Caenorhabditis elegans: one gene and its partner. The protein of the gene in region 2 interacts with the protein of the main gene of each other region in a biochemical or structural test. Each region holds a gene or a part of one and is shown on either strand. Other genes may lie near its edges.

Region 1 (4,985 bases), on a different chromosome or scaffold from region 2:
CTCAACACATTTTCGCTCATCTTGTGTTAACCCCGAATGATGATAGGCCACTCCTGACAGAATACACTGTTTCAGCACAGCATCCATCCGTTCATCATCGTTATCCGACAAGTAGGACTGCAGAAATGCATCACTTTCAGCTCTTTTAGCTTGTCGAATATGTCTGAAAATTAATTTATGATTAGAAAATAAATCCACACGTGGCACCCTACGCTGGAAGAGTTTTCGCAATTAAAACAGCCACATTCTCACAATTCTTCTTGTTCGGACAGAAAATTACGGCCGAATTTTTGGGAATGAGCTTGGCGAGCAGCTGGCAAATTCCATCTGGATCAGTTGATTTTAGATTCTGAAGAAAATTTATTCAATTTTTGAAATTTCTATAATTGTCCGCTTACATTTGTAGGGAGATCCCCAGCGGGGTTCAGATCTCCGTTTTCAGAAACTTGGTGCATCGTTTGCCCGATTTTTACGAATTCCGTGAGTTCTACCTGTAAAACATAATTTTTAGGAAAATTGGATTTTTCTGGATTTTTTCACGAATTTTTTTCGAATTTTCACGAAAATTCTAAATTTTCAAGAAACTTACCGGTCGGAAATTGGTGCTATACACAAAAGCTCTCAACGCGAATTTCAGGTCATCAATATTCGGCAAAGTAGCTGACATTCCCACTATTTGGCCGGTGCCTTTGTACAGAAATTTCGCCAGTAACTGTTCTAAAATTGCGCCTCTTCCACCATCTCCAATCATATGTAACTCATCCACAACGACCATTCCAACTCGATCCAGTTGTCCTTGAGTAATGAGAGAATTTATGAGCATATTGGCTTTTTCAATGGTTGCCACGTAGACTGATACTCGTTTTCGACGTTTTATCGGCGGAAATCTTCCTTTATTCGATGCATATTCTTCGATATTTATGCCAAATGCGTCTTCGAATGGAGCCAACGCTGATATCTGGAAATATACGTATTTAGCAGACCCAACTTCGGTCTGCTAATTATTTAGCATACCCAACTTCGGTCTGCTAATTATTTAGCATACCGAACTTCGGTCTGCTAATTATTTAGCATACCCAACTTCGGTCTGCTAATTATTTAGCATACCGAACTTCGGTCTGCTAATTATTTAGCATACCCAACTTCGGTCTGCTAATTATTTAGCATACCCAACTTCGGTCTGCTAATTATTTAGCATACCGAACTTCGGTCTGCTAATTATTTAGCATACCGAACTTCGGTCTGCTAATTATTTAGCATACCCAACTTCGGTCTGCTAATTATTTAGCATACCGAACTTCGGTCTGCTAATTATTTAGCATACCCAACTTTGGTCTGCTAATTATTTAGCAGGCCCATCACTAAAAAGGTGTCTAAAATAGCTCGAAATCGCTAGAAACCTTCAATTTTCAAGCATTTTCATGGTATACCTTTTCCTGAACTATAGCTACATATGGGAGCACTAAAATAGCGTTTCTCTTCCGAACAATAGCTTCTCGTAGCATCAAAACTTCAGCAATTAGCGTTTTTCCAGCTCCGGTAGGCAGGGAAAGAATACAGTTTTCTCCATCGAGTAGTCGTTTGTCGGAGAGACATTCTTGTTGCCAATCTGCAAAAAATTTGTGAAAGTTCAAAATTTTTTTTCCAACATTTAATAATTGTTACCGTAAAATTTATCCAATTTTTTGATCTTTCTGTACATTTCCATATCACGTTCTGGTAGGCATTTTGATGGATCCAGCGTCAGTGTTTCAGGCCTTTTTTCTGGTGCTGGAGCACATTTTGACATCAAAACTTGCTCATTTCGAAATGATAATCCAAATGGATCATCGTCATTTTCACTTTCATTATTCAAATATGCAGCTGTCCGAAATCCATCGGCCAATTTGCTCAAAGAACTCCGTTTAAGCACAGGCGGCCCTATTTTCTGTTGTATCGGGGTCACCGTGGATTCCTCAAGTGCCCGTTTTCTCGCAGGTGGTGATGTAACGGAGACGGGCGGCGGCTCATTTTCAGTCGATGATGATGGGGATTGTGGTGATGTGGATTTTAGTGGACATACGTATTCTCGAGATGTTCGAGGCGTTCGTAATCGTGCTGGAAATTTGAAAATTTTAATTATCTCTTAAAAAATCGTCGAATTAAAAAAAATATATTATTGAAGAGTTTTGATAAGTTCAACGCATCAGTAAGAACTTTAACTCTTAAACTCTTTTTTTAAAATTTATTTGGAATGAAGAAATTTCAAAGCAAATGCATTTCGGGATTTTATTCGATTTTTTTTTTAATTTTCAAAAGTGTTTTTTCTCAGTTTTCTGAATTTATTTGGAATTTTTTGAGTTAACTATTTTTTTACTTAATTTCTAATTTTTTTTCAATTTTTCCGGATTTTTTCGCTGTTTCCGGAGTTTCCAAAAATTTCAGGATGTTTTCCGGAATTTTTTTGAATTTTCTGAATTTTTTTCAGTAATCTGAACTTATTCGGAAGTTTTTGAGTTTAGTTTTTTTTTTACTTTTCAAAATTTTTTATTTCAACTATTTAGGATTTTTAAAAACGATTTTCTTGATTTTTGGATTTTCAAAGGAAGTACATTTCGGGATTTTCTTCGAATTTTTTCGATTTTTTTTTTAATTTTCAGAAGTGTTTTTTTTTTCAGTTTTCTGAATTTGTTCGGAATTTTTGAGTTAATTTTTTTAATTTTCCGGATTTTTCGCTGTTTCCGGGTTTACAAAAATTTCTGAAATTTTTCCGGAATTTTTTTTTGAATTTTCTGAAGTTTTTTTTCAGTTATTTGAATTTATTCGGAATTTTTTGAGTTTACCAATTTTTTTTTAATTTCTAAAAATTGTTTTCAATTTTCCCGGATTTTTCGTTGTTTCCTGAGTTTCCAAAAATTGCTGAAATTTTTCCGGAATTTTTTTTTGAATTTTTCTGAATTTATTAAACATCTCATTTTATTTTTGAAATTTTCTCAAATTTTACGGATTTTTTCGCTGTTTTCAGAGGTTCTAAAATATTCTGAACTTTTTCAATTTTCTGGGTTTTTTTTTCAAACTTTCCAAAATGTTTTGGTTTCTTCTTGAAATCCACGTTGCCTTTCCATACAAAAAACCTACAAAATTTTGGAATAGGCGAAAACGGATCTTCCTCTATTTCTGCAGATTTGCACCTTCGTATCGGTGTACGGTTCATGGGAAACCCTGAAAAGATACGTGGAAATTCTGAAAATCTGGAATAAATTCAAATATAGGTTAAACACGCAAAAACGAACAATTAGTAGTTAAAAATTTAGAATAAAAAATTTAAATAAAAAGCTCATGGTGGATTTATCGGAATCATAATTGGGCTGGGGGCACAAAGAAACTCATAGAATATATATATATACAAGACAATTCGAAAAAAAATTCAAAAAAAAATTCGAAATTTTTTGAAAAACACAAAAATATGCGAATTATGGGAGAATAAACTTGGCTTTTTGGATAAAAAACTCGTAACCGGCTAAGTAGAAAGTTGGGATAAAATTGTGCATTTTTAGAGATAAAATTGCACGAAAAGTCATGTTGGAACCGGTTTTTAATTGACATTTAGGGTATAATTCGTCAGAAATAATAGGATGGAAAATGCATTTTTGAAGTTTCAAGCGAAATTTTGCTGAGAAAATTTGTGGGAGAAAGGCAGAGGGGACGGGAAAATATTTTCAGGTAAAGAACAAAAATGACTATTTTTTGGGGGGATTTAATAGAAATGAAGCAAGTGAAGTCGGAGAATCGTGTGAAATCGATGGAGTTATTAACAGACTTCGAGCCATTCGACGAGTTGAATTTGGGCGGAAAATTGCTGAAATATTGAGGTTTTCATAGAAATTATTCAATTATTTAAGTCATTTGAGTGTCAATTTTCGTTCACGTTTGGATTTCTCATCTTTTCAGAAAAACGTTGAAATTGTTGTATCAATTTTTGGTATATTCTCTATTAATTTTATTTTTAAAAAAATTAAATCAGCAGTAAATCTTCTTATTTTATTTTTATTTATTTACCTAAAAGTTTTGTTCAATTAAAAATAATATTTAAAAAAAAAAGACCCATGGGTATGCTAAATAATTAGCAGACCAAAGTTGGGTATGCTAAATAATTAGCAGACCAAAGTTGGGTATGCTAAATAATTAGCAGACCAAAGTTGGGTATGCTAAATAATTAGCAGACCAAAGTTGGGTATGCTAAATAATTAGCAGACCAAAGTTGGGTATGCTAAATAATTAGCAGACCCATGAGCATGAAAATTGGCACTTTTTTCGCTAAAATCTTCAATTTTCCATCAAATTTCTCTTAAAAATTCACCTTTTTCACCATCCTCAGACGTTTCAGAAGCACTCGTCGGCGTTGTCAAAATGCCGGGCGGTTCCATTTGTAGATGTGGAAGACTCTGGCTTCGATGTCGCAAGACGCACGGCGGCGGCCACGGAATGTCTGAAAATTTGTAGAATTTTGGTGGATTTTATTAGAAAAGAGGAGCGTAAAAAATGGGCAAATACTGAAATACTACCTTGTGTTAATACTACTTTTGCTTGAATACTACTATTGCTAGAATACTACCTTTGCTAGAATACTACCAAATTGCTAGAATACTACTATTGCTAGAATACTGCCATTGCTAAAATACTACTTTTGTTGCTTAAATACTACCTTTTCAGAAAATTTTATAATTTTATTCATTTTTTCATTGGAATTCTTATTAAGTACTATTTCTGGTCAGATATTTTGAATAAGAAATAATTCACACAGCATTTTGTATTGTGTTAAGCACTAAAAGTGGCTTGAACGGTTTTATTTTGGGATCCAATAGGAGAGTATTAATTTGTAGTGAAATAGGTTTAAATTAAGCTGTGGACCGTTCTCACAAAAATACTCCGATTTCAAAAATTGCCAATTTGTGATTGAAATGGTTGTAAAACAACAATAAACTAATTGCAGAATTCAAATATTT
Region 2 (5,156 bases):
CACAAAATATATTTCGAGCAGTGAAAGAGCAAAAGGAAAACATATAAAATGTCTCGATCTACCATACTAAAGCGGAAAATGTAGAATCAGAAAATAAATTTTTGGCTCAACACGATATACAGTTAAAAATAAACTAGTATATCATAAATAAGTGAACTTTCTTATCAGGAGCCAATTAGTCATCTCTGACGTACAAATATTAACAATAAATTTCAAAACCTAAATAAGAATAGTAAAGATCAAAAGAGGGCAAGATCATGTTGAGTAATTTGAATGAGACGATGACAACAGGCAAGGGTCACACAGCTGTTCAGCAAATGTGCTGTGACCGTCGGTATTGCATAATAAGAATCGCTTTTGAGAGCATAAGTACGGACAGTTGGGTATTTTCAGGCAATTTTCAAGGTTTTTTGTTGTTGCCGGAATTTTACAAAGCAAAAATTCCACTCCACATTTTGCGAATAGGCAAATTAGAGATAATCATCTTACCTCATTCTTGGCCGCTTCAATGTCCATTTCAGTTAGTTGGATCTGGAATTATTGCTAGGTTAACATGATGAACACGCATTTTTAAAATACAGTATTAAAGGTTTCGAAAACCTTTATAAATTAAAAAGAACATTAGCTTATCAATACTGACATAATCAGTTCAACTATACGATTCATACAAAACGACGGGTAAAACAAAAGAGAGAGAGAGAGATGCACAAACCTATATATAATACAGATACAAAAAAGGAATGTAACGGAATAGTGAAACATGAGGGGCAGGCGAAAACTTTTCATAGAGAACATAGAACGCTAGATTTAAAAACGACCCAAATAAACATGATGAATCCGTGAAAGTGTGGAGAGAAACAGAAATGTGATATATTTATCGGGATATGAATGATGAAGTTTGATAAGAAAAAGAAAAACGAACGGCTAGTCCTCGCGTGCGTCCTCAATACCATGATTCGTGATTGAGTAGGTCGCTTCGGCTTCTGGTAAATTGGGTGATTGAACCATTTTTGCGACGCGATTCTCTCCTTTTCCTTTTCGAAGGTACAATCTGAAAATATGAATAACTTAATTTTTCTTCTTTAAAAAATCCTCAAAAAGACCACATGTAATGTTTAATAAAAAAATTAAATATGTTCTCTATTTGTTCAAAATCTTCAGAAAACCTCCAACTATGTTTACCTGGTAGTAGACATGTGAGCGATGATGTGACCTCCAATGGGCTTTTTAGCATCAGCCTGGAACATCGAGGCTCCTCCGTCGACTTGTGCTACAACTTGATTGGTAATAATTACAGCGACACCATATTCATCGGCAAGCTTGGCAAGGCATTTCAGAAAAGCAGAGAGCTTCATCTGACGTTCCGCTAGATCTCCTCTTCCAGTGTATTCGTTACGGAAATGAGCAGTTGCACAGTCAACAATCACAACAGCATAACGACTCTCGGACATCATTGCTCCTATGGCACGAAAAAGTTTATTTTTTTATTTTTTGAAATTTAGATTTACCTGCTCGAATAATCAAAGCCATCAAATGTTCTGAGTTGTATGCACGTGCAACAGCGATATTCTCGAGTACATGAGCACTGTCCATATTGTATCTGCAAGAAATTACTTCGATATTCAAAAAAATGCTACAAGATCCATAATAAGGTAAATTCTCAAATGCCAAAATTCAAGCCATGTGGCGTAAACCAGTAATTGTACAAAATGAGCCATTGCGACTTGTTCTCCAAACGTTTTTATTTCAAACTTAGTGATAGAATATAGAGAAATATTTACTTTATCTGAAAAAAAAAACTTATATTTGTTGAAACAATAAGGAAAAGGCTAAAAAATTGCCTGCAAGTTGAAATTCGCCAAAAAAAGACCCGGAACATCTCTGAAAGTTCATTTACGGCAATTTCCAACTTGCAGACCATTTTTGGCCTTTTCAATTGTTCAAGCAAAAATAACAGCTATTTTCAGACTGAGAAAATATGTTACTGATTTCTCGAAATAAATTTTAATTTTTTTTTAAATTTTCAAGTCGGGAGATCAAATTATGACAAATTCAGGATTTTTAAGAATAATTCTCAATCACAAACCTCTGAGCGATAGCAATAATTCGTTCGGGTCGAAAAGTGGCATTGGTATCAATATACATACATTTTCCCTCACCACCTCCCATATCAATCGGCAATTGACACAAGACTGCCAGACTGTGGCAAAGCTGAGTTTTTCCTGTTCTATATTCTCCGTAAACCTGAAATAAATGTTTTATTGAGTACTGTTGTCAGTTTATCCGTGATAAACTCACCTCAGTGATACTGCCTGTTTCGATACCGCCACCCAACAGTCTGTCAAGTGAAGCAGATCCAGTTCTGATCTGCACCAGCTGGCTTCGCTTCACATGAACCTCGGCTCCCGTCGTGAATCCCATCTGCACGAATTTCATGGCTTCTTTCTGAAATTAAATCATTGAAATATGAGGCCGATGTCTACATGTTCACAGCTGGTCGATTTGCCGTCAAAACTGACCTTGCAGCTGATCGTTTCATTCTTTTTCGGAGCTAACCTCGAAAAATGTATCAACTTTTCTGATACTTTCAATTCAATTAATTGGATTTTGAAAAATAAAGCCACAGAATTTTTAGTTTTTTTCTTTAATTCTCGAATAAGCTGATTTTTTGATATGCTCACCATTATCTTTTCAGCTTTCTGATCACTAATTCCTTTGACATTTCGGAGTTCGCGTCTTGTAGTAAATGCCAGCGATTCGTATGTATAGTATCCAGCTTCTTTTAGTTTTGAAATATCGCCAGAACTGATTCCTGAAGACTCAAGTTTATCGATAACTGTGAAGTTTTCATCTTGCTCCATCGCATTATCCTCGATTGCTGCATTGAGCAAAGCTTGATCAGCTGCACGCTGCTCTTGATCCGATTTCTTTTGACGACTTGCTTGAGCTGACATTTTTGACTCCTGAGATAATTTTAATTAATTATTTTTAAGTTAAAACATACAATTGGAAGGAAAAGATTTATTGAATGCAAATTCAAATTATATAGCCATTTATGTGTACATAGTGAACGTTTCGCAATCCCTAAAATCGGCATTTTTAACAGTGGAGCTTTTTTTTTCAAAAATTATGCTACACATTTACCTAAACTTATTTTTAAAATGTTACCTTCATATCCCCAAGATTGTCCCATAATCAATAGCAAAAGCTTTCTCTAGAGCAACAAAAATTGAGAAAAACATGGCCTAGAGACACGTGCCAAGTCCTTCCTCGAGCCCCCGTTCGCTTGACGAAAACAAGAACTTTCATGTTTTTCACAAGTTAGAACTGCTTTTGCTGCTCTACTATTTTTGTCGTCAACTACTGATTTATAACAGGATTAAGTCCACATATTTCTAGGCGTCAAGTTGAACGAACATATTTTCGAATTTAAGAATCACAATTTATGATTTATAGGTTTTTATTAAGGGTTTTCTTAGATAGATTTTCGTTTTAGAATAGAAAACATGGAAATTTAAATGCAAGTAAAACTGGCAGTAAATACAGAATTCTCAATTTTCAAAGTAGCGCCATTTGAAATTTTTTTTTCCGCTTTTTCGATGGCGCGCACTTGCTGTACTCTTGTTCAACACCTCGCCCTCCCGTCTCGTCCACTGCCGCTCGCGTGTGTGAAAGGCACCGATAGGAACGGGCCAGGGAAAAGGAAAAAGTGTAGAAAAAGACGATGCGCAGACATACAGCAAGGAGGGTCAGTGGACGCAATGGGGAAAAGAGAAGGAAGAGGACACCCAAATGTCTACTATGTACATTGTGTCCGAACCATTTTAAAACCAAAACTGGACATTAACCTTATCTTTTGCCCTTTTGAGCTTAATTTTTATATCACTTTTCTGCCTTAAAGCATTATTTTTTAAAGTACTATTCGTTTTTCAATCACTCGAACTATTAAATCTTTAAAACATTTTTTCTTGCAAGATTCTATGATTTTTGAATACTATTACTTATTAATTTATTAATACTTAGCTTAAATTTATATAATAATTTTTTATCTTGAAAATTGTTTTTCGTTGATTGAAAATTATATTTCAAATTTAGAATTGTTCGCAATTAAAAACGGGTAAAGCATGAAATATATTTCAGAAATCGAACAAAAATCAGGCTTTTTATTTTCCGAATATCAATTTCAAGCGTTAACCGAAGCGTTGTTATTTAATGACAAAAAATTTTGTTCATTTTAGGTTTTCATTCAAGAAAAGGAAGCAAAATTTAGCATAGCTGAAGACTTTTAATTAGTTTAACTCAAAAGCTACGAGAATAATCAAAAATTTAATAAAAAACCGCGCAAATCATTAGAGGATAATTAAGTTTTAAAACTAAAATGACAAAAAATGACAAAAGAAACAATGAGAAATCAAAACATGTTTCCTCCGTAAATCGACATTGAGTACTGTAGCGATTGGTCTCGCAGCGATGTTAATTTTCTTCTGTACTCCTCTCGGATAAATTTTATTATTATTGAACATGCGTATTAAATCGTTCATTGAACGGAAAATGGAGAGAATCGCAAGAAAAAAAATTATGATGAAAGTGCAAATAATTTAGAAAGGCTATGACACAGGTGATTCGCCGTTATAAAATACTTATGGCCACCAGTATTTTAGATGCAATTTGCAAATCGCTAATCTCGCTGCGGGACCACCAACATTCTAGCAATATATTGCTAATTGCGACTTTTAGTGCAAAATATTTGCTTCATCATATTGCTGATGCCTCAACTACATTCCATAAATATTTAAAAAACCGCGAAACACATGTGTATCTACTGATAAACTACATAAAGAAGTGAAATTTGTTAATAAAATCTTTGCATGAGAATTGTAACTAACTAGGGTAATTGATTTCATTTGGGCTTAAAATTAAACTCAACACATGATGAGTGAACAATTGGGATCGAAGTTTAGATCTAGAGGTTTTCCATCTATAAGTGAGCCGGTTACTAGTGCGATCAGAAGTTGTGAATTTGAAAAAATGTTTTTGATTAATATTAATTTCTCCACCAATTAGTTTCCTTTCAAACTTTTTGTCTTTTCTTCTAATGATCCAATTCCGTATTTTAGCCTACTTTCTGAAAAGTTCAGAAAATCTTTTTGAACTCC

Evidence for each region. Proteins that work in one complex are often made in the same cells at the same time.
Region 1: the proteins of rad-51 (region 2) and helq-1 form a complex in vitro, tested with the Caenorhabditis elegans proteins (one study listed by BioGRID).

Annotation. Positions count from the first base shown.
Region 1 is NC_003281.10:583,905-588,889, forward strand, and holds the start of helq-1 (Helicase POLQ-like), read right to left. Parts: upstream 3,202-4,985; 5' UTR 3,194-3,201; coding exon 3,118-3,193; exon of another isoform or gene 2,098-3,117; coding exon 1,666-2,097; intron 1,610-1,665; coding exon 1,431-1,609; intron 959-1,430; coding exon 590-958; intron 492-589; coding exon 399-491; intron 350-398; coding exon 213-349; intron 164-212; coding exon 1-163. Other genes in the region: Y55B1AR.2 (Flocculation protein FLO11), read right to left, coding at 4,363-4,468. UniProt on the Caenorhabditis elegans protein: Single-stranded 3'-5' DNA helicase that plays a key role in homology-driven double-strand break (DSB) repair.
Region 2 is NC_003282.8:10,281,052-10,286,207, forward strand, and holds rad-51 (DNA repair protein RAD51 homolog), read right to left. Parts: upstream 3,194-5,156; coding exon 3,169-3,193; intron 3,085-3,168; coding exon 3,005-3,084; intron 2,964-3,004; coding exon 2,682-2,963; intron 2,446-2,681; coding exon 2,299-2,445; intron 2,245-2,298; coding exon 2,087-2,244; intron 1,601-2,086; coding exon 1,509-1,600; intron 1,460-1,508; coding exon 1,183-1,459; intron 1,052-1,182; coding exon 925-1,051; 3' UTR 583-924; downstream 1-582. Other genes in the region: thk-1 (Thymidine kinase), read right to left, coding at 490-516.